Linked DNA regions of Styela clava. The protein of the gene in region 1 interacts with the protein of each later gene in a pairwise test. Links are inferred from orthologs where the notes say so. Each region holds a gene or a part of one and is shown in the gene's direction. Other genes may lie near its edges.

Evidence for each region. The genes of interacting proteins can lie anywhere in the genome.
Region 2: the proteins of DNA repair protein RAD51 homolog A (region 1) and SUMO-conjugating enzyme UBC9-B-like interact in a two-hybrid assay, tested with the Caenorhabditis elegans proteins (2 studies listed by BioGRID). The link is inferred for Styela clava from reciprocal best matches to the Caenorhabditis elegans genes rad-51 and ubc-9.

The regions. Positions count from the first base shown.
Region 1 is NC_135264.1:10,477,849-10,486,080, reverse strand, and holds the start of DNA repair protein RAD51 homolog A, read left to right. Parts: upstream 1-5,076; 5' UTR 5,077-5,200; coding exon 5,201-5,281; intron 5,282-5,607; coding exon 5,608-5,745; intron 5,746-6,274; coding exon 6,275-6,392; intron 6,393-6,473; coding exon 6,474-6,565; intron 6,566-8,232. Other genes in the region: nucleotide sugar transporter SLC35B4-like, read right to left, coding at 1,266-1,760, 2,354-2,521, 3,123-3,242, 3,499-3,601, 3,928-4,041, 4,381-4,460.
Region 2 is NC_135259.1:1,891,367-1,899,575, reverse strand, and holds the start of SUMO-conjugating enzyme UBC9-B-like, read left to right. Parts: upstream 1-5,209; 5' UTR 5,210-5,411; coding exon 5,412-5,477; intron 5,478-5,816; coding exon 5,817-5,880; intron 5,881-6,544; coding exon 6,545-6,564; intron 6,565-6,993; coding exon 6,994-7,176; intron 7,177-8,209. UniProt on the Caenorhabditis elegans protein: Accepts the ubiquitin-like protein smo-1 from the aos-1-uba-2 E1 complex and catalyzes its covalent attachment to other proteins with the help of an E3 ligase such as gei-17.

The DNA.
Region 1 (8,232 bases):
GTATTATTAGCCGACCAACATTGTGTGCAACTCTCATGATACTAACCTGTCAATCCACTCCACTTAGTAGGCTTATTCAGAGTGTAATTCTAACAGATGTTATGCTTATCGCTAGGACTAGCCAACGTACAATACCATTAGGGAAAAAGCATAATAAAAATCACTGCATAGTCTCCAGTACAATGGTAACAGGTATACAAAAATGAGGAAGACTATTTGGATTAAAACACAGAATTCTTTTCAGCCAAATTTTATTGGAATATGATTATGAAAGTAGCATTAGTTATATTATTATTAATTATAAATATAGTATGATCCTAAAATAATGGTGACATTCAGTTAAGCATGGAGTTGACAATCTGTGGTAAACAATATTCACAACTTATAGACAGTATAATACAGGGTGTGCAACATTTTTCAGTGGGCCATATAACCAACATCAGACATCTAGCTTTTCCATGTATCCTATACAACCAAAAAAAATTATCACAATACAATATTTAACGCAGCCACAAAAAACATGTATTTTTACCCATGTGATCAAATTTTTAAACAAACCGTCTGATTAGGATTTTATGTTTAATGAGTATATTTCATTGTTGACAAGTGCCACACTAAATGGCTTGGCTAAATGGGCCACCTGTTGCATACCCTGGTATAAAACATTCCACCAAGGCGGGTCAGTTAAATTTGCCTAGAGGGCCGACCTTGATAAGATATTCCTGTTATATAGTGAACATCTCTTGTGCAATATTATTTTAAAGAACGTTACTGACTAACAAAAGAAGTTAATAAAATGTAGATTGAAAACTATACATATTAAATTATCTCCATGTGAATACATAGGCTAATAATAATGAATTTCTCATCCTAGTGGGAAGCCATTATCAAACCAGGCATGATACAATAAATATATCACATAAAATATACCATATAATACATTGATTAATTCAATTGACTGTATATACAATCCTTTTAATTCAAAGAGACAATTACATTGGCAGACTAGCATAAGCACAGTGCTTTATGACATGATAATAATATTAAAAACAAAAATATGTACAAATAATAAAATGGCTTCAGCTTTGCTTCGTTAGAATTATTTCCACATTAGGGTATCTTCGTATTATAGTTAAGAGCAGAAAGTAAAAATAATAATAATTTCTAGGTAATCACATAAGTAGAAATTTTCTAACACAAATATAACTGTGTTGATAAGCATAATGAACAGATAAGGCATCATTGGCATTGGTTTAATACAAGATTCAATCCACCTTTGTATGACCGTTTTTGTGATACCCATTACTAATACCATTTTTCGATGTTTTGCTGTTATTAAACGTGGTTACAGTAGAAGATTTTATTCTAAAAATATCCGAATACATTAAACTGCCAGCGAAAACGAATGATGTCCCTATCCAATGATAAAAAGTAAAATCATTCTGAAAATACAGCACTGAAAACAGCAACGATATGAACTTACGTAGGGTTATCAGCAGCGTAACCGTTAGCGAAGTGCATTCAGTAACGAGATAAAATACGGAACGAATGCAAAAGTATTGCGTCACAACATTGATGATGACGTATTGCCACAAAATTGGAATTTCTAAATTCATTTGAAAAGATAAAACTGACTCTGAAACAGTGTTCAGAAAGTTTGTAAAAAATGGCACCGGCTCAAGAGGTGATTGATTGAATATTTCTAAATTCCGCGCAATGCTTGGTACGAGTAGCAGGAAGAATGGTAACGGTAGAGCATGCTGTGAAAATAATTTATTTTCTGTTAATAAAACATAATGAAGATAGCAGTAATACAATATATATACATGATCTCTCTTTTATTTTAGTATTTATCATGGAAAAATACGAGTCTCATTTCAAAATGTGCAAGAGATCAATACTCAAATAAATACACATTGTTGCACATCAGTACCGGTACTTTAGGGCTTGAGATCACAGAGTTTGCTGAAAAGATCCGCGGTCAAACTTATGGAGGAAGTCAAACAAAGCAGAGTGAAACAGCAAAAAAAAAGTAAAAGCCTTCAAGCAATTTCTTTCATTATTATTAAATATAGAAAATGTGGTAAAGGCATTTTTGTCCCCAGCAACAACAATAATTTAGCAAACAATCCATATGTAGACTTCTGAGAATAACGAACAGTGGTGTTCCATATATTGTCAAAGGTCAAATAAGTTGGTGAACTCAAACTAGGCATGTTTGTTTCTTAGGAATTATGATAAAAAAATATCCATCAGATATTGGCACCTACGTTCATTATTTGACCGACCTCATTATTAATTAAGATTATGTCCAACAACTATTAATCAATAACTCAGTAATCGTATCACTTACATTGTAAAACAAAGTTTCTCTTGGATGTTTCCCATATTTGATTGCGATACTTTCTTGATAAATTCCCATTCCAGCAGATACAATGAGTGAAATTGTCAAAAATATGACTCCAATTAATGTAGAAGCATCAGTTGAATGACTAGACATTGTGGTGGCCTTTGAAACACTCTTAGATATAATGTCAACATTAGCAATACTTATAAAGATATGAAATTTATGTTTAGTATATAAAAAATCATATTTCAAATTGATGTACCGGAAATCCAATGATTGTCAATCATTTTGTCGGCTACACACTTCATTCAGTTATAGAAAACTTTATTTTAAAATTTGAATTTCCATTAAACTTGAAAATAGCCAATACGTATCTCAAATTATGGTAATGAAGAAATCAAAATAACAAAATAAAATCATAGCGTACAGATAACGTAATTACAAAAATGATACACGCTACATACAACTAGGTAGGCTATATTCGTAGCAAAAAAAGAGAGAAATACTCAATATTTGGGACAGTATTGAGGTCTGTGTAGGATTCATGAAAATGTCAAAAAAAGTATGGTGATAGCCATCTTAAAGTGTTGAAAATTTAAAATATCGATTGGTCTGCTAGAATCAGAGACAAACAACTACATTGAGTAAAACAATTTATAGGCCGGGCCTCGTACATGTCCAAGTCCAATAATCCAAAAAAGAGCTGCAGTTGGTCAATGCTAATTATAGTCGAGCAATATTATTCAAGCATTCAATCTTCATAAACATAACTTACTGTAACATAAGTGCAAATCAATATACCCAGTGACACAAATGCAACTGAAAGGTATTTTTGAGATGAGTACGACCTCTTCAATAAGAAAGCACCAAGAAACATGTTCGCTACAAGAGAACCCTGAGAGAAAAAAAATATAAAAAATTGTATAGACTGTCCATATAGTGGATGGAGCCATAACTGACCAGACGTTTCAATAATCGCTTTTTAATGGAAGGAACTTCATAAATCTATGTATGTATATGTTCGTGCCTAAGAATTAGAAACTTATCTTTTAGCAACTTAGAAACTTTATGGGCGGTAATGTAAATATGATGCACACTACTCGCTTGATAACAATAGAAAGAATAATAATTATCATATTTGTTATACTTACAGATTTAAAAATCATATGAAGAGGCATTGGTATATTGAAACCTAATGCCATATTATTAGTAGCACTGGCTGTGAAGAACAGTAGAACCATGACAACATAGTTTCTAAATATAAGACAAATTGAATTATTTTCTGTTACAATTAAAATTTGTTTTTTTGGGGTGCTTCTATATACAGATATATGTCTCTGGATAAGACTGTGATCAAGTAGTATGAAGCCATTAAAGTTTAAAAAAATGCTTGTAAAATTACATTTTATATAGGAGGCAATTACTTGAGACTTTTTTCTTGTTTTGAGAATATACACCATATAAGTAAAATCATGACGACAAAGTAGAGTTTAGCTATAACTTTTTTTTTTTATCGATAGGCCTATTTGATTCTGTCTTTCTTTACTTTGCACAATAAGAAAAGCAAAAAAGCCACATACTTTAAAGGAACATGTCTAGTTTCCCATCCGAACTTCCGATTAGCAATAAAACCTTCTATAGCAATAAAGGAAAATTGAAGAAAAAGCAGGATATTTCCACTATCAGGTGAAGCTCTGAAAAATGAAAGTTAAATTTCAGTGAATTCTTATTTAAATAAAATACAAAGTTTGAGTTAAAAGCTGTGTAACTTAGCCAGATAACACAAAGGGAAATCAAAGCTCTGGCTGCTTTAGCACAGAAAGATGTGATATATATAAAAGTATGCCATAGGCAATGTTACAGAAAAGAAAGATTAGACCAAACTATAAAACTTCAAACAGTAAGTACAAACAGAATACTACAATCATAAATACAGATTCATCCAAGCATAAAATTCACCATACTGCCATACCTGCATACCGGTACACAATATCAAAATTCAATAACTCTAGCCAAAAAAGTTATACACTCACTTTATCAGGTGTTCAAGAAAAATTACATTTGTACAACACGAGGCAAGAAGAACTCCAACGGCAAAATACATTTCGAACATGACGAGTGAAGAAGTGATAGGCTACAGTAATATAAAACGAAAGATATTCCGTGCTCCTAAATTTGTAACAATTAGCTATGTTTATATATGTTTTTATTATCAACTACATGCTGTTCTGCGAAGAAAAATACATTGTTATAGCTGTCTGAACGCTGGTACAATATAAAAATCTCGCGAAATACAACTGGACACGTAAACTTCCGGCGTCGAAACTCGTCTGAACAACGAGACGGTCTGGCACGAAATAATAAATATCGAAACTGTACGTCATAGTTCTTGATACTGGCATCCTCGGGGAAAATTTATTATGAATTACGTAAAAAAAGACGTTTTGTTGAAAACCGCCAATAAAAAAAATGATAAATATGTTATGTTGTTCATTATTATAATGTTTTATAAATATTTTATATAAAAGAAAAGTACTTCCCTACGGCGTTTGCTACATTACTTTTACAATACTCGAAATATCTCACAATTGTAAAAAAAAACTTACACATATGAACACCGTTTTTTTGTGTGACTATTTGGTCTGTCTATGTTAAATCAAACTAAAGGACTGTACAAGTTATATTTAAACGTTGTTTTTTCTTAAGTTTACGAAAAGTTTGGTCAAAATAATTGTTATGGTTCAGTGGATCTAAAGCGCGAGATTTGTTTTGGTAAATCGTCTCGTCTTATTTTAGTATTTCTGTATTCTGAGATATCGCAGGCGTCGTTCGCAAACCTTTATTTCAGTAAATATGGCAATGCAAGTACACGAACAACAGGAAGATGCCGAAGAAGAGGAGGTTATGGGCCCACTTCCCATCGCAAAATTAGAGGTAAGTTGAGTTAATTACCGTAAATCAAGAAATTTTCATATTGTTCTATTCGCAAATACTGGCAAGCCCTGAATTCGAGAGAAAAAAAACAGAAATAGGTTAAATAGCAAATTTAACAAGAAAATTAATGGCTTTTGACTTTTCAACTATTCTATATCAGAAATGTCGGAGAAAATCGTTTTTTAAAATCAATTCTTAAATTATGATTTTATCAATACTGCATTATCTGGATACCGGTAAAGGTACTTTATAAAATTAAAATAGGCCTATCATAAATTGAGATTACACAACCGCATACCACATTATGCAAAATCTATCTCTTTTAGCAATGTGGAATAAGTGCAAGTGATATAAGGAAACTTTCAGAAAATGGATACCATTCTGTGGAAGCACTTGCTTATGCTACGAAGAAGGAACTTGTTGGAGTAAAAGGAATAAGTGAAGCAAAAGCTGAGAAATTAACGGTAAAATTTATTAAAGGACATTGAAATTCTATTATGTGTCAAATATTTATGTGGAAATCACTCTGACGTTGAAAAAGTGAAAATTAAATAATATGACAACGATTTTATTTGTTTATTTTTATCAATAAGTCTATCATATAACATTACGGCACAGTTCTCTGATTTCAAGAATAGCTCCCACATTGAAAGACATTAAATATAAGAGTGAATGCAAACCCCTCTTTCATGAGACAGTCTGGGCCTCCATACTGGCACAAATTGGCAAACCGGTATTGTGCAATAAACCAGAAGGAAGCACAATCTTCAATCTATATCTAAAAAAAACACAATTTTGATCATGTGACATTGATTTAAATTATTATTGAAACAAGCATGGCGAATTCTGGCACATCTGTCGTCGATCAAGACACCCTTATTTCAGATTAACCAATTGTTAACCAATCAGCGAATTGTGCCCTACTGTATTCTACATGAAACATTACAAGATCTTCTTTGACCCTGATCATGAAATCTTTATATATTTTTTTAGCTTGAAGCAGCGAAATTAGTGCCGATGGGTTTTACAACTGCGACAGAATTTCATCAAAGGAGATCGGAAATAATCCAAGTTACTACAGGATCAAAAGAATTAGATAAGTTATTACAAGGTATATCAAAAAAACTTTTGTACAGAGATTTGTTCGACACGAAGTCGTGAGTCTCGTCTAAAAAGTGTTTCTTATTTTTAGGTGGAATTGAGACTGGATCGATAACAGAACTCTTCGGAGAATTCAGAACAGGAAAATCACAAATTTGTCACACAATTGCTGTTACATGCCAGGTCTGAATCTATATTGCGGAAACTTTTTTTTTTTAATGTCTTCTTTGAACTATAATAAGTTGTATTTTATTTAATAGTAATACACAATTCAACTAGCGTGAGTTTTTAGTACAGTTTTATTCCATTTTTCTCATTTTAGTCGCACTTTTATCTACCGTAACTAGGGCTGTCCAAAATCGAATAATTTTTTGATTCGAATCGAATATTTTCGCCGAATCGAACCGAATAATCGAATATTATTGCCCAATAGTAAATCTGTCTCTATTATACAATAAACGCCTGCCCTTCGATGTTGTGGTAACGTATGTGCAGTTACATCAAAGGAGATCACACGCTTGTATGAACTGGTCAAAAAAATTGGAGAACTCCAAAATTTGGGTCTCGAAAACTGTTGAGTGTTAAGAGTAAAAATTGCACTATTCAAAAATTGCAATCTCAATTTTGATGGATTCAGTTTTAGTAGGACATATAAAGCTTGTAGATGCTATTTTAATCCTATTCACTAGTCTTTATGTTTTTTTGTGTAAATTTCAGCAAAATAATAACAACCATCAATATAGATAAAACTGTTGCTCAAGTTCAAAATTGCATTTAAAAATTCCAAGCTAGTTTGATGACAATATTATTTGAGGACTATAATATTGTTAGTGTACAACAGCCATCAAAATGCAAGAGTGCAATTATTTGTCTTGGTATATAGATGGATAATACAGTAATGCCATCATGAGAAATTACAAATTCCATTTAAATAAGGTATTGCCATCATAAGGATCCCAAAACACCTGTTTCAGCTTTGAGTTGCCTGTACCATGTTCCTATGATAACTAACTCAACAGCTTCAAATCGATTCTATTTATAGAACTATCGTTTTCTAAATTGTCTCCTTTTTCTCCTTGTTCTCTCTCAAAAACGTCACGATCGACTATACCTTGTTATGATGACCACGCATGAAATGGCTAATCACGTGCCACCGGGCGGGCATTAGTAATGACATGTTTATCACAAAATGAAGGCGAGAAAAATATCGGGAAACCAATTAAGCAAGCCGGGAGCGAGAGTGGTCTGAGCTCGGATCGCCGCCGCTTGCCCGATGAAAAACATCCCGTAAAGGTGGTTTCCGCTTTATGTACCGGTACCTAATTTTAGCGATTCGAAAATTAGCCGAAAAACGATTCGAATAATTTGCGATTCGATTCTATTTCGAATATTTGGTTCGCTTGGACAGCCCTAACCGTAACAAATAAAAGTTACCTATTTCCATGTAACAAAAATTATTATAGAATAAGTTAGTGTATTCTAATTTTAAAAATGATAGCGAAAAATGCAGAATGTTGTTATACTTATACCCATCACAAGTTTTTCTCAGCTTTTTCTGAAGTCTGCTTTTGTCATATTCACCTAGTTTAACAATCCGTATACCCTTGCTGAATAAAGATCCAATTGTTTATCCAAAATATCGCTCCCCTCTCAACATGTAAAAGAATATTTTTGTTGAAGTTTTTTAATTTTTGGACATGAAGTTGACATATGGATTGCTTCATTGAGTCATTGTTGGCAACATGTTTTATTTTAATTCACAGAAACACCATTTTTATTTTGTCAAATGTGATCGCCTACTTTGCGTCTGTCCTTCATTTAGCGAATTCACTTAGACTGCATAGATCACA
Region 2 (8,209 bases), on another chromosome or scaffold:
AAAGTTCGAAGTTAGTAATTTTAATGTTTGCGCTTAATCATTGAAATTTCATTTAAAGAGGGTGTCATACAAAACTGTGCTGCGATACAATTCCATAACACAAAGTTTGCACCTATCGAACTTGCTTTTGTAGGTGAATTTATTAGACATATTACATATTCAGTTAATCGTAGGTAACATTGCTGGTACATAATGCATCGTAGATAGGTTTGTTTAAATTTAGGAATTTAGCTCATAGCCCACTAATTAATATTATCTTCTATGCAGGAGGTTGCAGGGCTGAATTCAACTTGCAGCCTTACCGATCACCTGACGATGCTCATTTAGTTTGGCTCGAGCAAGTCTTCTTGAAATGCTTGTGTGAATGGAAACTACCTATATTTTTTGCCTTCCTCCGATTTTAGACAAATTTATTCTGAGGGATTTCGCATATAATTCTCACTGATTGTTGGCTGTTTATAATTCCTATTGATTGTGAATTCTGATTATAACAATGAGTTGAAAATTTTTTTACCTAATTTACTGGCACCTTTTTCTTGTCAATACTCCAAGCTGAGGTAATAAACATGACAATACATTTATGTCATCTGGAAGCAAAATATGCACACAAATTAATAGTTTGGCACATTGAGATAATACATCATGACAGAAAATACAAGTTAAAGATATGTATGACCATCACATGGTAATTAAAATTAAAAAAAATTAATAGGGGCTGTGGAGTATGGAAAGTTCAAGACAAAGAAAAGAACAAATGTTCATAGCTCATGAACTCTCAATTTTGCCTCCATTGCTTTGTGAAGGCCAATATATTTCGAGTGGCTGAATTGGTTTACCTTTATGATAGCAACGATTTTGTATTTAATATAGCGAGATTATTTCAATTTAATTGAAGTGATATAATTTCCCAAAGCAATGCTTGAATCGTCTAGAATAGATCAGTGGTGTCAAACTCATGGGTTTTCGAGAGCCGCATTGCATTTTAAAAATTGTAAAAAGAGCCGCAAACAGTTTTTGATAATGTATACTTAAAAGATATTTTTAAGATAGTTTTAGTTTGTGACATATATTGTGATGCAACTAAACAGTTGGATTAAGTTTTAATATTTTCTTCAATTTCAAATGCAATTACATATTAATATTTGCATTCCACTATTATTGCAACATTTGCAAGTTACAGTATTTATTATAAAAAATCGTAAAATTCTATGTACAACCATCAAAATCATTTTTGAACAAGCTTTGAATAAGGAAAGAATAATACATACACTAAAAATAACTTAATCTAAATATATGAACCTAAAATTAACAAAAATACTACAGTATAAACTCAATGTTTTAATAATTACATTCGTCCTGGCGTTTGGCATCTTTTTTGTGTCACCAGCATACTAAGGCCAGTCTGAAATGATTTTATAGTACCAACTCTAACTAACGAGGCCACATGATCATGGGTTTATCTGGATCTTTACGAATGTTTAATTAATTCCAGTAATGCAAAAAAGTTACTTTTATCATTTCATGTATAGATCAGTAAAAAAACAAATGACAGATTTTTTCGACAAGACATTTTGCACTACATTGCGTGGCATAGGATTGCTTGAATTATTATTGATATTGATTTTTAGTAACTAAGTCGTTGTATAATTATATTAATATACAAACACATGGAAATTTTCTGTTCGAAGTTGGTCTTCGAATTTGTCATATTGACTGCTGAGCTTATTGTGTTTTTTGATTGTATTGATGGAAATATGACAAATTAAACAATGTGCTTCAGAATTTTGTGAAGAGCAGAAATGTGACAACTCCCATTTTCTTCGAAAATGCCACCTTCTTCGTGTACTTTGCGTTTAATTTAATTACTCAAGTGTTTTATTCAAGTATTCTTTTGCTAGCTTGATGTGTATTCTTAATTGGGTCAAAATGTGGACAAAAAAAATTAATATTCCAAAACTACTTTCAGTAAATTGTTTTCTGTGTGAATAATCAATTTCACTTTAGAAGGTTTGAAAAATCTATTACATTTAGATAAAAAAAAAACTTCCAAAATACTATTACAATTATTGTTAAGCGTTCGAGGGCCGCACTGGAAGTTCTCTGGGGCCGCGAGTTTGAGATCCCTGGTCTAGATTGACGTTGTTCAAAAAATATATGATAGTATTTTATCATGAATGATGATTATACCCCTTCCGGAATTTCTTCTATAGTACTACCAAAAGTTGATGAACCAAATATAACACAGGTGCAGTGAGGTACCCGTAATCCTCATTACCAAAGCTGTTTTAAGTATGTCTGGCGTGTTTTGTGCCTTTTTACAAATAAGACCGCTTATGCAATCTTACGCTTTGGAATTTTTAGTTAATTTCCTCAAGCCCTGCAGGATGTGGGGGCCATACACAACTCTACCGGAGGGTCAAATGTCTTTGCATGTCTCCATAGGTTGTTTTTCTATTGCAATTTTCTATTTTCAATTGCATTATATTTCTTGGAATCACACTGTCACTGATATGTCGCCAGACTTCTGATATCTCCCCGTCTGCTATAGTTGTCCTGTGAATAAATAATAGGAAATTGAGATTAGACGAATAGTGGGTGTGATATACAACAATAGTATTCACCTTACTTTTTACCGATTTCTTTTTACCCCAACTTTCAAAAATATCATTAAAATCGACAACAACTGTCAAAGCAGGCACGAACACCATTCGTGCTACGCCTTGAAAGCAGCACACATCCGCTCGTTTTCGTCTCGTCAAGTATGTGCATTGGAGCGTGCTATCGAATACGATCTTCGGACAAAAATGCCGGAGTTGCGCATCATGTTGTTTAATGTCATTGTTGGGACCCACCGAGTGTTTATGTTACACAAGTTTGACGCCCGAATGATACACCACAATGAATGATACCCGTTCGTGTCTTTGTCTTTTTTATTTTGAATATATGTTTTTGTGTTGAATGTGGGTAAACTGACGCATGTATTAAACCTTTATAAAGGTTTTGCCAGTTTCCCCGATTTTCCCAACCCAATCTTCTGTGTGTTCATTGTTTGTGTTTGGTGTATGATTTTTTTGCGGGAAAATCAAAATATACTTATATTATTATACTTATATACTCTTCCTCAGAGGCACAGTTGTTACCACTTCATGGCAGCTCCTGCCACGAACGAACCGCGGCATCTCTTGCCACGGTTTTATAGCGCTATTCAGTAATCAGTATTAACTGTATATTCACAAATTCATGCACCAGATTTTGATTGATCATGCGGAATTATATCTACTTAAACCCTAACCCCAAATACATCAAAACTGTATCCATAAGAAAAACGTTCCAACTTACCCAATCCTTGTCATCATAAGGGACAGCTCTGTCTTTACGGCCCACCTATCGTGGTTACGACAGCAAAATTTTACCTGCCATTGGTTTTCGATTTGCTGCCGCGGTAACGGCAGCTCGTCATTGGTTTGTGGCAGCTTAAAAGTCAGTCGTCATCATAGGTTCATGGTTAATCAGTTAACCATGATAGGATTGGCCATAGCGGCCATGGAATAGAAATACCGCCATGGTTTTGCGGCAGCTACAGACGCCACAGAATACTTAAAACTGCACTTGCTTCCTCAGGATGAATATGTTGAATTATATCTCCTCCAAATTTCCTGAATTCTGTCTGATATTTCTTCACACCGGTATGTTCCGTCTCCATAAACTGTGAGCGGCATACAAGCATTGAAAAAGTACTAACGTTAATTGATAAAATACCGTACCGGTACAGTATACAGGTATAGTCTACACCACTGTGAAGCTAGCAGCACTTTCAGCCAGAATATTTTTACACATTGAATATAGGTTCCACGTGCATATAGTGTTCACTTACAAGGTAAATATGAAAATTGAAAATTCTGATCAAGAAGAATATACGCTATGTTTAGTATTATATATGATCAAGTCAAAACGTGCTGAGACTGTTCTGACATAATGAAATCGAATCTTTGAGGTTTCTACTTTTCACCAATGGTGTTGCAATGCTGCCTTTATTGGAGGTTTTCATGAAACGACCATGTTACACGACGAAAATTCAGTCATTTTTAAATATCTCTCAAAAAATTATAAAAAAATTGTGTGCACTGTAACAGTCGCTTTAGCTTGTTTACTATATATTAACAATACGAGGAGTGTAGTTAATGATTGTTTTGCCTTAATTGCTATTGTGAAACTAATCAAAATATACACTTTCTTTTAAAAATCATTGGGAACATTTAATTTTACGCGTGGGTATTTTCTGCGATTCTGTCAGTCACAATTTCGTGTTTTGCTGCTAGCTTCACAGAGGTATAGTCTACCTGTAATTTATTCTGACAGTAACAAATAAAAACTGGCCACAGAATCAGGAGAGCGAATGAAACCTGGCTTGGCGGTGGGGCCCATCGTTCTAAGCGCTACGAAGTACGAATACGCTCGTCACTGCGCCTGTGATTACGGTGCCCTTCGTAGGTTCGAATCTCATGCCTGCATGCGGGTGTATGATTAAGCCGTCTCTTCGACTTTCTTCTCCACCAGGATAAAAATGTAAATCCTATCTTAAAACCAAAGATAACAATTCTAAATAAAAAATATAGCCTATGTGGTAGAACCAAAACAGAAAAATACTTATTGTTGACATTTTTATTCTGCCTCTTGTATCAGTGGCAATATAAATCAATTAGAGAAATCACAATTTTTTCAGAAAATCACTTTTGATGGCAATTTGTTGTGCATGAGGAACATACTGGTAGTAGACTATGTATTTGAAGTTATCTCCCATAATTGACTGAGAAATTTATTCTGTTACCTATTGCAGTATTGTGTTACTTCAGTGCACAATGATTTCATGACTGATATAGATTAAGCAGATCACTTAGATTTTACATAAACATTTCATTACATTTTGATTATTTTCCTCCCCAAGTATAATATACAGATATACCGGTAGTAGTAATACGTGAATATAGGTAACATAAAAATGCAAATGGACAGACTGCTGCTGATAGCTGGATAGTGTAATATAAAAGTGTGCAGAAAAAGAAAATGTCTGATGAATATTAAGTAGAGTATATTTGCCTTGATTAAAATCAGAAAACCGATGACTGAATTACAGTGTTCATTTTTCAGTCCTATTTTTGTTTTATTCAAAGAAGTCATCTAATCTCATGAACAGCTAATATTATCATGACTTCATTTTACCTAACTAACAGTTAAATAATATACGGTATACTGCTGCACTGCAAAGACTTTTTTGCGGATTGAGTAGTCTGCTTACATGACGTATGCCAATCGAGGTTAGACTGGAGTGTTCTCAGCGTGAATTTCAATAAAAAACTTCCACCTAACTCTGCTATTTGTTTATTGCTTGAGTCCTATAATCCACCTTACCGATGTCTGGAATTGCCCCCTCTAGATTGTCAGAAGAAAGAAAGGCATGGAGAAAAGACCACCCTTTTGTGAGAATTATTGTATATTTTGAAATGCAATCTGACAATTCATTTTTGTAATCATGTTCTGGTTATTTAAAGCTAATATTCTCAGAAATCGCTTATACTTAGTAGGCCTACATTAGACTTATTTCTCGTTTGTGAAAGAGAAATTTCACTTATTCAATTTCTGATTAGCATTACGATATGAGGGCTGGGATTGATAGGGCATTTAGCGTTATTGTATGTATGAATGTAAGATTAATGAATCAATAACTCAAATATTAATATAAATAAACCATGAACATGTCCAAAAATATGTGAGAAAGAAATGTTTTTTTGCTGGGTTCAAATTTTTCTCTTATATAGGGTTTTGTGGCAAGACCAGTGAAGAATCCAGATGGAACATTCAATTTGATGACATGGGATTGTGGTGAGATATTGTTTCAGATATCATAACCTGAAATTTTAGTTCAAAATTGTCATAAATATCATGTTCTACTTGGAATTAGTAACTGCTTGGTTATATTACCTTATTGGTAAGTCGTAGTTGTCTTATCAAAGCAATTTTCATTTATGTTACATTTCATTTGTATTTATGACTGTTTGTATTTTGGTTGACAAAATAATGAATCTACACGGAACCAGGTTCTGTGGATGGGATCAGTATTGTACTTGATCAAAGTGTAATATAATATATACACAATTTTACACATGCCCTCTGAACTATACAATAAATCTGATGTAAAGTGTCGGCTAGTAGAAAAAATAAATAATTATTTATCAGCCGACTCATTTTCTGTCTTTATTTTATAATTTCATATTGTGATAATCCATACTGACAGTTTGATCACAGAGTAAATAAAATGGTCAGGAGTCTCAGTGACCTGTAAAGGTCTTGTTGCATACTAACCAACACAATTCAATGTTCAAGTATTCACAGCACTGTATTTCTATACAAAAAAATCGGATACTATTGTTCTTTTTTAACATTGTTTTGTGGGAATAAAATCTCTTTCTCTTATCTTTTAAAAATCATCTTGTTCCATTTTCTACCCAATAAAAAAAATTTTTCAATCTATTTTATTATTTTTCAGCAATTCCTGGAAAGGCTGGGGTAAGTTATCATTGCATATTCAAGCCATTGGCTACTGGACAATGTTTTTGGCATTGAGATGTTATATTTAATAATTATTTAAGCTGTATCAGTATTGTATTGAGTGATTGTACCAACAAAGCAAGGGGCAGTATGCGAATCTATATTGAATAACTTGTTGAAACCTTAATACCACTATATCTTTATTGACTATGAAAATGGTCGCGTTGAACTACGCAAGCGAAGCAACACATGAAATTTAAGTGAATACAATAAATGCAAGTTTTGATGCATTTCCATTGTACTATTGCTTTGTTAGAATATTCTTGTCTCGAAGAAATTGTGTAGGATGTTATATGATTGTGACAAGTGGTTTTTTTCATGTAATGGTAATAATGTATTTCCTGACATCGTAGTGTGAAGTAACATTAACATTTTTTATATCCATAGACTGCGTGGGAAGGTGGTTTATACAAGCTGAAAATTATATTCAAAGATGATTATCCTTCTTCACCACCTAAATGCAAGTTTGAACCTCCCTTGTTCCACCCCAATGTTTATCCATCTGGTACTGTTTGTCTTTCTATTCTGGATGAAGAAAAGGATTGGAGACCTGCTATCACCATTAAACAGGTTAGGCATTGGTGATTCACCAATTGGAATCCTATCAATCCCAATTCATTCTACCGTATTTTACGGACCATATGGCACCTTTTTTTTCTTCAAAATCGATCGTGCGCATAATATATGGAACAGGTAGTACTTTATTGCGTACACTCAAAACTAGATAGTACTTGTAATGGTTGCGTCTTATGCACAGTGTGCCTTATGTATGAAAAAACCTGAGTAATTTAGGATAGAATAGGATAGGATTTACATATTTATCCCGGGGGAGAGGAAAGTCGATAAGATGGCTTATCCATTGGCGAACCACGGCCTCTCGTCCGGTTACCATTCCAAGTCAGGTATGGGATTAGTTATACTGTTTGTTTTCGGAAGCATGGACTTGGTGGTAGAGGAAGCCGTAACCGAACAGCGGTCAGTGAACCACCCAACGACGGCGAGGAGTCCAGCAATCCTCTCGCACATAATCATCCCTGCATGGGATTCGAACCTGTGAACCCACGCAGAGTAATTAGAGGTGCGGTGGCGAGCGTATTCCTAACGCTTAGCCCGTTGAGCCACACCGCCGCGCCGCATTTATTGTGAGTGCTCACTATAATTCGGTGCACCTTATGGTCTGTAAAATATGGTGGTTAAAATGCTTGCAGTTTTTCGCAATGTGACATTTATTTGAATTATCTTGCTTTGTGAAATGAGCATGGTGAACTCAAAATTAGCTGATTCTGCCTGTTTCATTGTCTTTTTTCAACCTTGAAAATAGGTCAACCTTGAAATAGGTACACTCCCAGCATAAAAATGACGTTCAATCAAAACGCATGTACAAAAACTTATTTTTGTAAAACACAAATGACGACATCAAAAAGATGAGTAGATTATACTGATTTCATTGACTGTAATCAATGCGATACAAGTTTATTCTTGAGATTTAAGCGGTTTGAAATTTATATATTGGTTATGGCGTTTAGTGTGTCTAAAATGTGGTTTAGTAAAAATTGAAATCTAAATTTTCTCAACTAACCTGAATGCCGTAACCCTAACATTA